2 linked regions of the Arabidopsis thaliana genome follow. The protein of the gene in region 1 interacts with the protein of each later gene in a pairwise test. Each region holds a gene or a part of one and is shown in the gene's direction. Other genes may lie near its edges.

Region 1 (7,048 bases):
TCTTTGGAGGACAAGATTGATGTTGATTCATCATTAAACACACTTTAAAAATAATATAAGCTTTTTTTTTTTTTTCCATAAATAATATAAGCTTATAATGCGGGGTTCTCTAAAAGGACTACACAAACAAAAGGGTTGTGGCTAAACTGCGCTTGAACAGTCAGCGACTGTGACGGCATGTCGAGACTGACTGGGCATGCAGAGATGCCATGTACTCCTAAAGAAATTCTCAGCCGTCGGATTGGTTTCAGCGCACACGAGGACAAGGACAGTACTCAACTTTTGGTTCGTTCACCACTCGTGGGACCCTGCCTTGCTTACGATCTCGATCGAGTGGTAATATTAGCCCCCACGGTGCACGTTAACGTATGACAGGCTCTTGGAACTTCTCAATCTCTCTGCCCTTTTTGGTAATGTGCGTAGCGCTTTTTCCGGAGCGGTTTTCCCGCGTCTTGTCTCACATCCCCAACCCTGTCTTAAAAATGTTTTTTACCTAAACTGCGCATTTTAACAATAATATGCGTATGTCAGCATGAAATCGCACGTTAGTAACGCAGTCCTCTCACTATCTTATGTTGATAGCAGCTGAAATTGAGTTCACTAGAAGATACTAATTATTGAACGTTAATTAGAAAATACTAATTATTCTTGATTAACCATATTGTTTGGTTTGTTTTACTAGATGTATTATCCTAATGAAGAAAATAATAAATTAGGATATGTATACGTTTGAATATATATTTAGTAATGAAAAATGTGATAATATGTACGTTTTGAGTATGTGTTCAGGAGGAAGGCAAGAGTACCGTAGTGATAAAGAAGACTAGGAAGATCGGTGACCGGAGCAAGGAGGCAGAGCTACGGAGGATTCTAAGGGGATTGGGCTCATCTCCACCACGGTGCTCCTCCAAGTGTGGAAGATGCACTCCGTGCAAGCCTGTTCACGTTCCGGTGCCTCCCGGCACGCCTGTCACCGCCGAATACTACCCGGAAGCTTGGAGATGCAAGTGCGGCAACAAGTTGTACATGCCATGATCTTTTATAATATATATACTCACATATATACATTATATATATGAATTATATGCATGTTCGTAGTTATATCTTGCCTCTACTCCAAATATTTATTATACATTGACATGTTGCTAGGACAACCTCAACGTGAAACTTTTGCTGATAAATTGATTGATGATGCTCGTATAGACGATATGACGTTCTTAGCATATGATTTCGTATATGGTGACATAATTCATGAATAATATCAACATTTGGTGTCAAAAGGAAACATATTTCTTGTCTTCTTCTTCAACGTACTTGCTTATAATGAACAAAAAATAAAAAAACGTACTCGCTTTCTAATAAGTATCACATAGGTTTAGGCTCATAAACATATGGACTAACATAAATAAACCAAAAGCCCAATAACATTACTCTTAGCATATACATATAAGTAAACTATTAACATCTGTCTGCGGGACTCGTTGATTTCATTTAAATTCTGTAGTCTCAGCTCGTTCAATTTAATCTATTCGTACACACTGATAATATTCAAGAAAACATATGCTAACGTATAACGTATTACGTATCCAAATACACCTTACACCACTCACACATAGCCCATATATAAAAGTTTGAAGGATTTAAAGTCGCAGACTCGCGGTCATTTTTTTTCTTTAAAGTCGCAGTCATTGACTGACTGATTCTTCTTTCTTATTGAAAGGTTTTTTATGTAAAGACGAAAGTTTAATCAGGATGTGAATATGGTACGGCCCATGTTCTTTATTCCTTTTTTTTTTTTTGGTGCAAAGTTCTTTCTTATTCTATGTTAGAAAAATAATCAAATTACCGACGCGAGCAAAGGTTATTATTTCCTGGCTATTAGTCTATAACTGATAAATAATTAGTCAATCAGATCAAACAATAGAGAAATAATTAGTCTGCAATCAGCGATTATTAAAAAATAAAATAAAATAGAAACATATCTCAGCACCGATTTTTCAACAGCCGGCCCACGATCCAGAACCGTCCAGCTTGAAGCCGGCGCCGCGTCGACTTGTTCCACCGTTCGGATATTGCCACGTGTGTGAGAGACACCTGCCATTACCTCGTGGAACATGTTTTGTTAGTATAAGTTACTAACCAAGTCGCTATCTTCAATTCTTCATTACCTAAGAGTTGAATAAAAAAACAACCATATACGATGAGACACGCAAATAACTGATATACGAAACAATTATTTATTGATGTACATTCTTCTAACTATAATACTACAAGATTCTGAATAGTTTTAGATGTAAAAAGTACGAGAAGAGTTATGATCAGAGTAAGTTAAGTGATAAGATCATGACACGTAGGCAGAGGAAATAAAGTAGAAACTATCGACAACATAATAATTGAGTGAGTACAAAAACCACGTAATAATTAGGTGTACACTGTAGTCTGTAGATCGATTGTACAAAATGAAAAAACTATATGATTTAAGGAACTAGATATACATATGCATCGACTCAAGAACAGTTGCTTTATGTGAAGACTATCAATTACATTATCGGCTAAATTTGGCTTCATGTGTTGAATAGATGGATTGTGTGCTCAGGTAGTTGTGTCAGTTAATTATAACAGTAAACCTTCACTGCTTCACATATATAAAATTTGGGTTAAAAAAACTTTAACATTTTATTTTTTTAATTGACAACAAACAAATTCTGTAACGGTTACATATAATAGTGCTTCAGTTAAACTCCTTTTTTAGGCAACTCTAATTCCTTTATACCCTTAATCCATTATTATTCTATCGAACTTATCTTTTTAAAAGCTTCCGCGTTACGCCATCACTTCTCCACCATTTAAATACCTAAACCACTTTCTTTCAAATTTCTTATTCCATAAAAAGTAAATTCACAACAAAACCAAAAAAAAAAAAAGAGAAGAAGAATTAGCTTACGTGTTCATCACATCTGCATTACGCGCAAACGAAACAGATTCAAATTCTCCGGCGAAGTTTTCTTATTCATCAATCAATCTCTGGATTCATCAATCATGCCAGAGATCGAGATTGCCGCCGGCAGCGGCGACAACAACGACGCCTTATTCGGTAAATATGAGCTCGGAAAGCTTCTCGGATGCGGCGCATTCGCCAAAGTCTTCCACGCACGTGATCGTCGTACCGGCCAAAGCGTCGCCGTGAAAATCCTCAACAAGAAAAAACTCCTCACAAATCCAGCTCTAGCCAACAACATCAAACGCGAGATCTCAATCATGAGAAGATTATCTCATCCAAACATCGTCAAGCTCCACGAAGTAATGGCGACAAAATCAAAGATCTTCTTCGCAATGGAGTTTGTTAAAGGAGGAGAACTATTCAACAAAATCTCAAAACATGGACGTCTTAGCGAAGATTTAAGCCGGAGATATTTCCAGCAACTGATCTCCGCCGTTGGTTATTGCCACGCTCGCGGTGTTTACCACCGCGATCTCAAACCAGAGAATCTATTAATAGACGAAAACGGAAACTTAAAAGTTTCCGATTTCGGTCTAAGCGCGTTAACGGATCAGATCCGACCCGATGGGTTGTTACATACCTTGTGTGGTACTCCGGCGTACGTTGCGCCGGAGATTCTATCTAAAAAAGGATATGAAGGTGCTAAAGTTGATGTATGGTCTTGTGGAATCGTCTTGTTCGTTCTCGTCGCCGGTTATTTACCGTTTAACGATCCGAATGTGATGAATATGTATAAGAAGATTTATAAAGGAGAGTATCGTTTTCCTCGTTGGATGTCTCCAGATCTGAAACGATTCGTTTCTCGTCTTTTAGATATTAATCCTGAGACTAGAATCACCATTGATGAGATTTTGAAAGATCCTTGGTTTGTTAGAGGAGGTTTTAAACAGATCAAGTTCCACGATGACGAGATCGAAGATCAGAAAGTGGAATCGTCACTAGAAGCTGTGAAGAGTTTAAACGCGTTTGATTTGATTTCTTACTCGTCGGGATTGGATTTGTCGGGATTGTTTGCTGGTTGTAGTAATTCGAGTGGTGAATCGGAGAGGTTTTTATCGGAAAAGTCGCCGGAGATGTTGGCGGAGGAAGTGGAGGGGTTTGCGAGAGAGGAGAATCTGAGGATGAAGAAGAAGAAGGAGGAAGAGTATGGGTTTGAGATGGAGGGGCAAAATGGGAAATTTGGTATCGGGATTTGTATTTCGCGGTTGAATGATTTGCTTGTGGTGGTGGAGGCACGGCGGAGAGGTGGTGATGGTGATTGTTATAAGGAGATGTGGAATGGTAAACTCAGGGTTCAACTTATTCGCGTTTGCGATCAGACGTCGTCAACAAACGCGGCTATTTAAAAGAACGCTATGAAGTTTTCTACCGTGCTTTCAATTTTAAAACGCCAATCGCGTTTCGTTGGTTGGATTTGGTTTCTACTACTTTTGTTTCGGAATTAAAAACAGAGAAAAAATAATAAAAATTAATGTATGTATTTAAATACTGTACCAAATTGTAGGTATCTATTTTGTGCTTTTTGATCAATGTGTTACTATGTACAACAACAAGTCTAAAATTGCATTTGTAGATACTTCACTCTTTTGTATAATGTAGAAAATGTTCTTCTATTTATAGTTTGGATTTTCCAATTTTACACATTTGTACATAACTACTTTTTAAAATCAACCATGCAAATTGTATTAAGTTAAAGTGCATGATAACCAAATCAGATTAATAACCAATGAATTGAAAATAAAAAGTAGATAAATTACTAAAATAAAATAATCTCTAAATCGCATAAACTCATCTAAACTCTCAAAAATCCATACATTACACATTTTTTTTTTTTTCAAAAAGGCTTTCAATTCTATACATTTTTCTGCTTATCAAATATGGCTTCTTCACTTTAATATTTATGTATAGAATTGAAAGCATTTTTGAAAGAAAAACTTTGTGTAATGTATTATTGAACAAATGAAATGATTGAAATGGGAGTTCCACATCCAGTGAAGAAAAAGCATTAAAAAGTATGTATAGAATCAGGGAACTTCAAAAATTGAAATCTGCAGCTTTATAAAAAGAAAAGCTATTATTGTCTACTTGATTGGATATTACAACTCAAAACGAGTGAAGGTTAAGGAATCATTATCATTATTAAAGCATCATCATAAGCACCAGCCTTTTGTTATTCTTCTCATCATTTGTTTGGCCAATTTAAAATTTTAATTAATATCATCTCACCATAGTTTCTGCCCACCTTTTGGTTTTAGGTGCAAATGGAAAAACTCTGGCAAATTAGGTTGTTTGGTGTGAATTAGGAAAGTAGAATGCTTATTGAATATTCTTGACTATATCTAAACTCTCTTTATTCACTTGGGTGATTTCCTCATAAAAATATTATTGTACCAAACTCTCTGAAATCAAAGTTTACTATATAGCTAAAATAAAAACCAAAAACTCTACTAAACCAAAGTTAAGAATAAATTCTTTATTAGAGACAAACTCAAAATTGAAAACCATCATTTATTGTATCTGAAAAGTAAAAAGAAAAAGAGGATATAATATGAGGAGAGATTATTTGAAAGCTGAAATTTTAGTTGCGGTAAAATTTGACATAAGTGAGCAAATTTTATAAGCTCTAAAATCAATAGGAGACCTATCACGGTATCACTATCATGATGGGTAACAATGTCATGTGAACCAAGTAAAACAAAATACAGTATAGGAAATGAATTATAAAAAATTGGGCCATTATAAAATTGGGTCATTGAATACAGTGGGCCTTAATCATACATTTCGGCCCATTCTCATCCTTAAGAGATAAAACGGATTTTTTAGTGTAATAATCTGTCGTCTTCAACGGTCGAATTGAATCCAAGAGATATGAGAGAGAAAAGGGGAAATCGGAAAGCCCTAGATCCCGTCGGTGAGGATGGAGTCACCGGAAAAGATGGAAAAGGCTTCTTCGCCTGTTATCTCTTGACCTCTCTTAGCCCTCGTCATAAGGGTCAAACCTATATCGGGTACTTGTTTCTCTCATCTCTGATTTTGGAATTGAAGATTCTGTTGGATCAAATTCGATTGAGAAAGGATTTACATTTTCTGGGTTTATCTGATTGAATACTTAAATTTGATCAAATAGGAGATTTTGAGTGTTTAATAATCAGACTATGAGATGTTTAGTGATTGATTGCATAAACTGGGTTTGGTTGGTAGGTTCACTGTAAACCCGAGGCGGAGAATAAGGCAGCACAATGGAGAGATCACTAGTGGTGCTTGGAGAACAAAGAAGAAACGTCCATGGGAAATGGTTCTCTGTATCTATGGTTTCCCCACCAATGTCTCTGCCCTTCAGGTCCTTTTGCTACCCTAAAGCAAAAGATTCCTTGCCAAAAGATTCTGTTTTTACTTCTTTTGTTCTCCAGTTGTGGCCTCGCTCTTGAATGTTTTGCTAACGTAAAAAAAACCTTTTTGCAGTTTGAATGGGCTTGGCAGCATCCGAGAGAATCGGTTGCAGTTAGAGAAGCTGCTGCGGCTTTCAAATCCTTCTCTGGGGTTGCTAGTAAGATCAAGCTTGTATATACAATGTTAAATCTTCCAGCTTGGAATAGGTAAGGAAGCTTCTTGTTGTTGTTGCTATGCTTTGGTATCCATTTTCTTATAACTTATATGTCTCTTTGTGTCTTGTTGATCAGTTTGAACCTCACGGTTAATTATTTCTCGTCAAAGTATGCACACCACGGTGGTAAATCTCCAAGTTTACCTTTACATATGAAAGTTCAAGTTTGTGCTATGGAGGATCTTCAGTATTTCACAAAGGTAGATGACAGTTCTCAACCCGAAGATGAAGAGAGTCCCGAGGTTAATGAAGAGGATGATGATGATGATGATGATGATAGTAGCAACCTAAGCCAGCCTGGGAATTCAAATACAAGCTCATCGGATGACCGGCATTTTGAAAAAGCGAAAGAACCTGTAACTGTATTTGATGAAGAAGACAGATTAGCAAATTTCAGTGGTTTTGGCTTATTAGATGAAGAAGAGACTGTTGAAGATGAAGTA
Region 2 (6,997 bases), on another chromosome or scaffold:
AATATATGTTCATTTTAAAAATATTGAATCATACAATATGATGGAAAAAATTAAGATTTTTTTAAACTCTATATATTATATAATGATGTTAAAAATTTGTAATATATCAAACTTTTTATAAGTTTAAATATTAATAATGTTTTATCAATTTTAAATATATAAATAATAATATTTAAAAAGTTAATATTTTTGCTTATAAGGTAATGACATAATAACTCTAAAAGCAAGGATTTAAAAGATTTAAATCTTTAATTAAATATTTTCATTAATAATTAATTAATGTCAGTGACATGACATTGTAAATAAGTTCAAATACAAAATTTATTTATTTAAACAAAAAACGTTAAGTAAGAATAATATTTATTTAACAAAAAATTTTGTTTTAAAATATTGTTAACAAATATGTTTATGCTAATTTTAAGGGATTGATTTGAAGTTTGGTGGGATTAAATTTGATTGATAATGTGATTGACAATTTAAATCAAAAATTTAAAGTAAAATTAATTATTTTAGAAAAAAGATTTAATGCTAATGGCATTAGATTGTAAATAAATCAAAGTCTAGGATTTATTTGCTAAAATGGCTGCAAAAATGTATATATAGATGACTCGTTCAATTAATTTGGATATGGTGTCTCTCTATAGTCTGTGGTCTATAGTCTATAGTCTCTAGACTATTTTGTTTGTTTGTTGAATATATGCCAAGAAAGATAAAGAAAACAAAGCATAGGATTTGTGACAAAAAAAAAAAAAATAAAAAAAAAATAAAAAAAAAAAAAAAAATAAGCATAGGATATAACATCAATAAAGGGGCAGAAATCAAAAGACAACAATTTTTTTTTTTTTAAAGAGTCAAAAAACCAGTACACATAATTGGACATTTATGACAAAATTGTTTTGGGACATTTATAACTACTAATAGTTTTTGCTAAGGTATTCGTATTATGAGGTTAAACTAAAATAAAGATGATGTTACTGATTTTTTTTTTTTAATTAATCCTAACTTTGATTTTAAGATAAGTTAAAAAATATGCTATATATCCGAATATGAGAAAAATCCAAGAGAATAATTAGTTTACTATGCTGCTGGCAATTTTTTTTTAGTTTACTATGTTGCTAGTGCTTGCTACCACACTTGTACGTGTTCAAGGCGTCGTGGATATATTATACACCATGAAATCTAAGGTTAGGTGTTTTTTGCTAAATCGTTACGTCATTGTTTCTTAAAAATAAGAATTAAAGGTTAAGTTACGTCTGTTTATTTTGTGTGTGTTTGTTTATAATTTGTTTATATAAAAGAAATTGGAAAGATAAATGAGCAAGGTGATTTCGATCATTAGTTTCAGTCCATGTCTTTGTCTCTATGGTCGGCCATCGGCCTTAGAGGCGTGAAAGTCTTAAACAATAATAGAACTTCATTCGGAAAAAAGAAAAAATAACCCTTAATATTTAAATGTAATTTAGATCATACAGTATAAATAACTTCTTATACCAAACTAAAATGAAGATGGTAGCTGATTAACGAATTTACATGCGGAAGACTTAAATAATCGATAGATTAGTTTATGAAAAGACTTGCATAATCGATAGATTAGTTTATGAAAAGACTTACATAATCGATAGATTAGTTTATGAAAAGACTTGCATAATTGGTAGATGCAAAGTTATAAGAAAACTGATAAATCTGAAACGAGGCTTGAGTTCATCAAAATTTCCTGTGACAGCGATTATTTTAATGTTACTAAGACGATTGGGTTGTTGGGATTGTTGTAGATAAACCAGGCAATAACATAATCTACCAATAACAATGTATTGTATTTCCTTTTAGTTGAGAAATTAAATATTTGACCACATTATCTGAATTTTCTTGTCGTCTTAATAACTAATTATCATTATTCATTTTTGGCAGGATCTTTTTTTCTTTGTTAAAGGGTCTACTTTTTTTTTTGATAAAGCAGTCTTTTATTTTTAAAACATGCATCACAAAATTTACCTTCATGAATCAATTCCCTGTGAGACAATGATATGATTTAAAGTTTACATGTAAAATATTCTATACCGTGGAAAAACACTCATTTCATTGTTATATAACGAAAAATATGAATTATATGGACGCAAAATAACTATTTACTAGATATATCGATGTTATAGAAATAATATTATATTAAAAAAAACGATATATACGGTTTAGTGTTAGTGTAAGTTTATATTTTTGGCACTTGTTGAAAACGTTATGATAACTTGTTTATTATCAACCTAACATGTTTTATACGGCTATACCGCATAAAGTGTAGAATTAATTTTACCTCTTTATATGACACAATAATATTTAACATGTAACAAGAGCAAGGGGTTACTTGTCAAATACGCCTATGCACTAAACAATGATAAATTGGTCATTCTCCTAATTTAAAAAGTCACTTTATCATTCTTCTCTAATACCAAACCTTTCTATATAATCACTCTTAAACCGGCCGATAACTTGTTTTCCAAATAATCTAAAACTTATACTAACCAAATTTAACTAAAATAGTAATAATTTCTTACAAATATCAAATCAAAAAATTTCAAATCCCTGACTTGTCAAATCAACCATGTTTCGGACTGAGACCAAAGTCTCTGCAATTCAATGACACATGTATATTATATAGTATTGTTTCATTAATCACACATGTATTTTGACCGTTAACATGCCTTGTTCTTTACGTATGTTGCACTGCAACAACGCTTTGTCGTTAATTTACCTAACTTAGTAAAAACAAAATACATGTCTTAGATTATCAGTTATTCAAACTTGTCGTTATGTAATTGTTATTGAAGTAAACAGAAACTCTGGTGCGATGCAGGACGTTACTCAAACTGAGTCACTTCGATCGGATGTCTTAATTCAAGCAGGACAATCTAGCTTTGCTACTGAAATTTGATGACACGATGATATATATCTATTTCCAACCGATGAAGCACACTGGAGATCCGTTTGGATTTTTATTGTTTTTACTTTTTTACACTATCGTAATCATTCTTTACATATTTCCTTTTTATTTTCTCCTTAGAAGAGAAATTATTTGTATACAAAACTTAGAAGGCTAAATAAGCATATTTATTCAGTATAATCACTGTAACCACACCTTATTCAATAAAATTCTTATTTTGAATCTGTCTATTTATGTATATGATATTGCTATAGTGATGACAGATGAGTAAACATTAAACATACACGCAACATAGCTATCTTGAAAACTGTTTGATGATTTGAGACAAAGAGACCAAAACAAATGGAACCTTCTTCACATATCTATCACACGTCCTCATACACCACCCATATTCTGCCATGTGTTCTCACTCCATCAATATTAATTATTTTTAGGGTTAATAGAGATGGTTTAGTCTCATGCTTTTTGTTTATTACTTTTTTTCTTTGGTCAGAGCTTTTTGTTTGTTAGTAAGGACTTTAAAGATAGAGAGTAAAAATTACTCTTTTGTTTTGTCAACATAATAAGCAGTTTTTTTCTACTTCATTTTGTCTCCGTATTTCATCAAGAAAAGACACGTATTTAGATAGATGATGGAAGGGCGGTACCAAATCTCCTTGACTTGACTTTGCATGTACCATATATATATTTGTATATACATAAATCATAATTCATGAAGAAACCAAATTTTCTCTGTAATCAAGTTCTCAAAGCTTATTAGCTTCTCTCTCTAGTTCTCTCACATATAACATTTGAAAAAGATGGGAAAATCTTCAAGCTCGGAGGAAAGTGAAGTGAAGAAAGGGCCATGGACTCCGGAGGAAGACGAGAAGCTCGTAGGCTATATTCAAACGCACGGTCCCGGCAAATGGCGTACCCTTCCCAAGAACGCCGGTAAATTCCTACCCTAACGCATGTATATATACAAATAGCTAAATCCTATCAGCTACAATATGTTTTCCTGCGTTTTGTTTTACGTTTATGTTTAAAATTTACTAATAATGATTATCATGCTAGATCATGTCAACGTTAGAATTAAAATTAAAACAATCATGGTTCTTATTCGTTTTTCTTGGTGTGAATCTTAAAAGGGTTAAAAAGATGCGGGAAGAGTTGTAGATTGCGATGGACGAATTATCTAAGACCCGATATCAAGAGAGGAGAGTTCTCTCTTCAAGAGGAAGAAACCATCATTCAACTTCATCGTCTTCTTGGAAACAAGTTAGTCTATCTGCAATTTTTCATTTCTTCATTTAGTGTATAATTGTTTACATGTATGATTAAATTAAGTAAAAAATGACCTAGTTTTCCACTACTACACCTACTTCATTGGACTTCCATGTCTTTACATTTTTGTTATAATATTACTTGCATATTTTATTTTATTCAACTAAAAGACAAGAACATAGTTAAGCACTATACCAAGGTCAAATGTCTAAAGCTAAGCATGCAATCTTCAACTCGCTGCAGCTAATATCTTAACAAGTTAAAACTTATACTTCTCTTTTTGATTTTAACTTAAAATCTATAACACGATATTTTTTCTTCTATAGATGGTCCGCAATTGCTATTCACTTACCAGGAAGAACAGATAATGAAATCAAAAACTATTGGAACACACATATTAAAAAGAAACTCTTACGAATGGGGATTGATCCGGTGACTCATTGTCCCCGCATTAATCTTCTCCAGCTCTCTTCGTTTCTTACCTCATCATTGTTTAAATCTATGTCACAACCGATGAATACTCCATTTGATCTCACTACTTCAAATATTAATCCTGATATCTTGAATCATCTCACTGCCTCTCTCAACAACGTTCAGACCGAATCATACCAACCAAACCAACAGCTTCAAAACGACCTAAACACTGACCAAACCACTTTCACCGGTTTGCTCAACTCAACACCACCCGTTCAATGGCAAAACAATGGAGAATACTTGGGAGATTATCACAGTTATACCGGTACAGGTGATCCATCTAATAACAAAGTCCCTCAAGCCGGAAACTACTCATCAGCCGCATTTGTATCCGACCACATTAATGATGGTGAGAATTTTAAGGCCGGATGGAATTTCAGTTCATCAATGCTAGCGGGAACTTCATCGAGCAGCTCGACACCGTTGAATTCGTCTTCGACTTTTTATGTCAATGGTGGAAGCGAAGATGATAGAGAGAGTTTTGGTAGCGACATGTTGATGTTTCATCATCATCATGATCATAATAATAATGCTTTGAATCTATCATAATGTCTTATTTATTTTGCTTCTTGATCTTATTTGTTTTATTTTTACTTTTTTTTAATGGGGGTTTGTAATTGTGTTACATACTTTGTAATATAAGAGCTTAGTCTATTATTATGTTGACTCTTTTTTTTTTTTTTGTTCTACTTTTTTTGATCCGAAAAGGTTTCTATTTGTTTACACTTAAAAAAGTTATAAAACCTAAGAGGATAACAGCTAGTGTACCTTTATCTTGACTTTGTTCTTCTACTAATTGTTTTTTCTGCTTCGAAGAACTTTACATTAGTCGACTCTCAAAAGGTCATAAGATGGTTGATAAGTGTGTTACGTACATACTTAGTATTTTAAGAGTTAAGTGTATTCTTAATCTTGGATTTCTTGTGCATTTTCTTCCACTAATTGTTCTTATTTTCCAATTCGAAGAACTTTCCATTCGTTATACCTAAAAGGTCTTCAACTTGTACGAAAATTTTCTGGTGTTATAGTTTTATTATTCTATTTGCACCATCTTGATTTTGATGATTAAGAACACATTTGGTGGAGCAGGAGACAATAGTGATTATATTTAATTGGTCATAGACTCATAAAGGGGAGTTTTCAATTTCATAATACAAGAAAAAAGAAATAATCGACTTGTTTTCCCTTATGATTGGTTTGAAATCAGCACAAATAAATAGTAATACACCTAAAAGGAAGATTTAAATAGTTATCCACTATGAGAAAATGTGTATGAAAGATTAAAATAGAAAATATATAGTCAACGTTGTTCGAAACACCAAACCCAAGTTATAAAACTGTTCATACAGTGAGATGAGATATATCAAAAATAGCTACTATCAACTATAACATAAATTAAGTAGTAGCTAGATGCTACTTTGAAATTCTGTAATTGACTGAATGACACTTATGTATGTGTATAGAGACATACACATCATAGTATTTTATAAATATGTGGTCCATTCTAGTCTCTTGGATTATTGGAAAAAAAAATACATACGCCTAACCATTCATTGAACCTTGCGGCCATAAAAATACAATAAAATCATGCAATGATATGAAATAAATAAATTATATACTTGTACTTATAGATATTGTATGAGAAAAAATGTGTATATTACTGGGGAGAGAATTTATAAGTAATAATTAGTTAGTTTTTACAACAACAATTTTGGAAAACAAAGAGAATTCCATAGGGAACACAAGAACCTCCTTTGTATTTCTTCATCACACAAATCTCTCTGCACGCTATTAAGTCTATTTGTAGTTACATGACATGGTCGTTTGGCCATACGAGTCATAACTAATTAACTATTAACTCATAGTTATTTCCATTATTTTCGTTTTTTTTTTAACTATACAAGCCAATTGACCATTATTGTGTAGTCTTTGGCAATGTAGTAACCTGCCCACATTTCAAAGGAAGATAAAAAAATCTTGATTTCTTTCTATCCTAAGTTTGACTTCAACAAGTTGTGTTATTATATATAATAGAATTTGGATATGGGTCTGCGTTTGTCGATCCAAATGACAAGACTAGATAATAAATCTCAAACACAACAATTTTGTTTCTTACAACAGGTTTAAACTGAGCTGGGCCTTAAGTTTCTCAAATTCGCAAAGCCAATCAGCTACGTTATATCGCATATGCATGATGAAATGCCTTTGTAGCACGATTGTAATCGAATCTACGAGGAGTAACTTGTTACACACCAAAGATACAAAACAAAGTAAACTAAGATAAAACTAACAAATTGCATGAAAAACAAAAACAAATTGCATGAA

Evidence for each region.
Region 2: the proteins of SIP4 (region 1) and MYB49 interact in a two-hybrid assay, tested with the Arabidopsis thaliana proteins (one large-scale study listed by BioGRID).

Annotation. Positions count from the first base shown.
Region 1 is NC_003071.7:12,934,564-12,941,611, reverse strand, and holds SIP4 (SOS3-interacting protein 4), read left to right. Parts: upstream 1-2,777; 5' UTR 2,778-3,039; coding exon 3,040-4,347; 3' UTR 4,348-4,633; downstream 4,634-7,048. Other genes in the region: CHAL (allergen-like protein), read left to right, coding at 161-336, 790-1,035; AT2G30350 (Excinuclease ABC, C subunit, N-terminal), read left to right, coding at 5,870-6,009, 6,203-6,341, 6,464-6,597, 6,682-7,048.
Region 2 is NC_003076.8:22,014,581-22,021,577, reverse strand, and holds MYB49 (myb domain protein 49), read left to right. Parts: upstream 1-3,516; 5' UTR 3,517-3,732; coding exon 3,733-3,865; intron 3,866-4,062; coding exon 4,063-4,192; intron 4,193-4,524; coding exon 4,525-5,221; 3' UTR 5,222-5,435; downstream 5,436-6,997.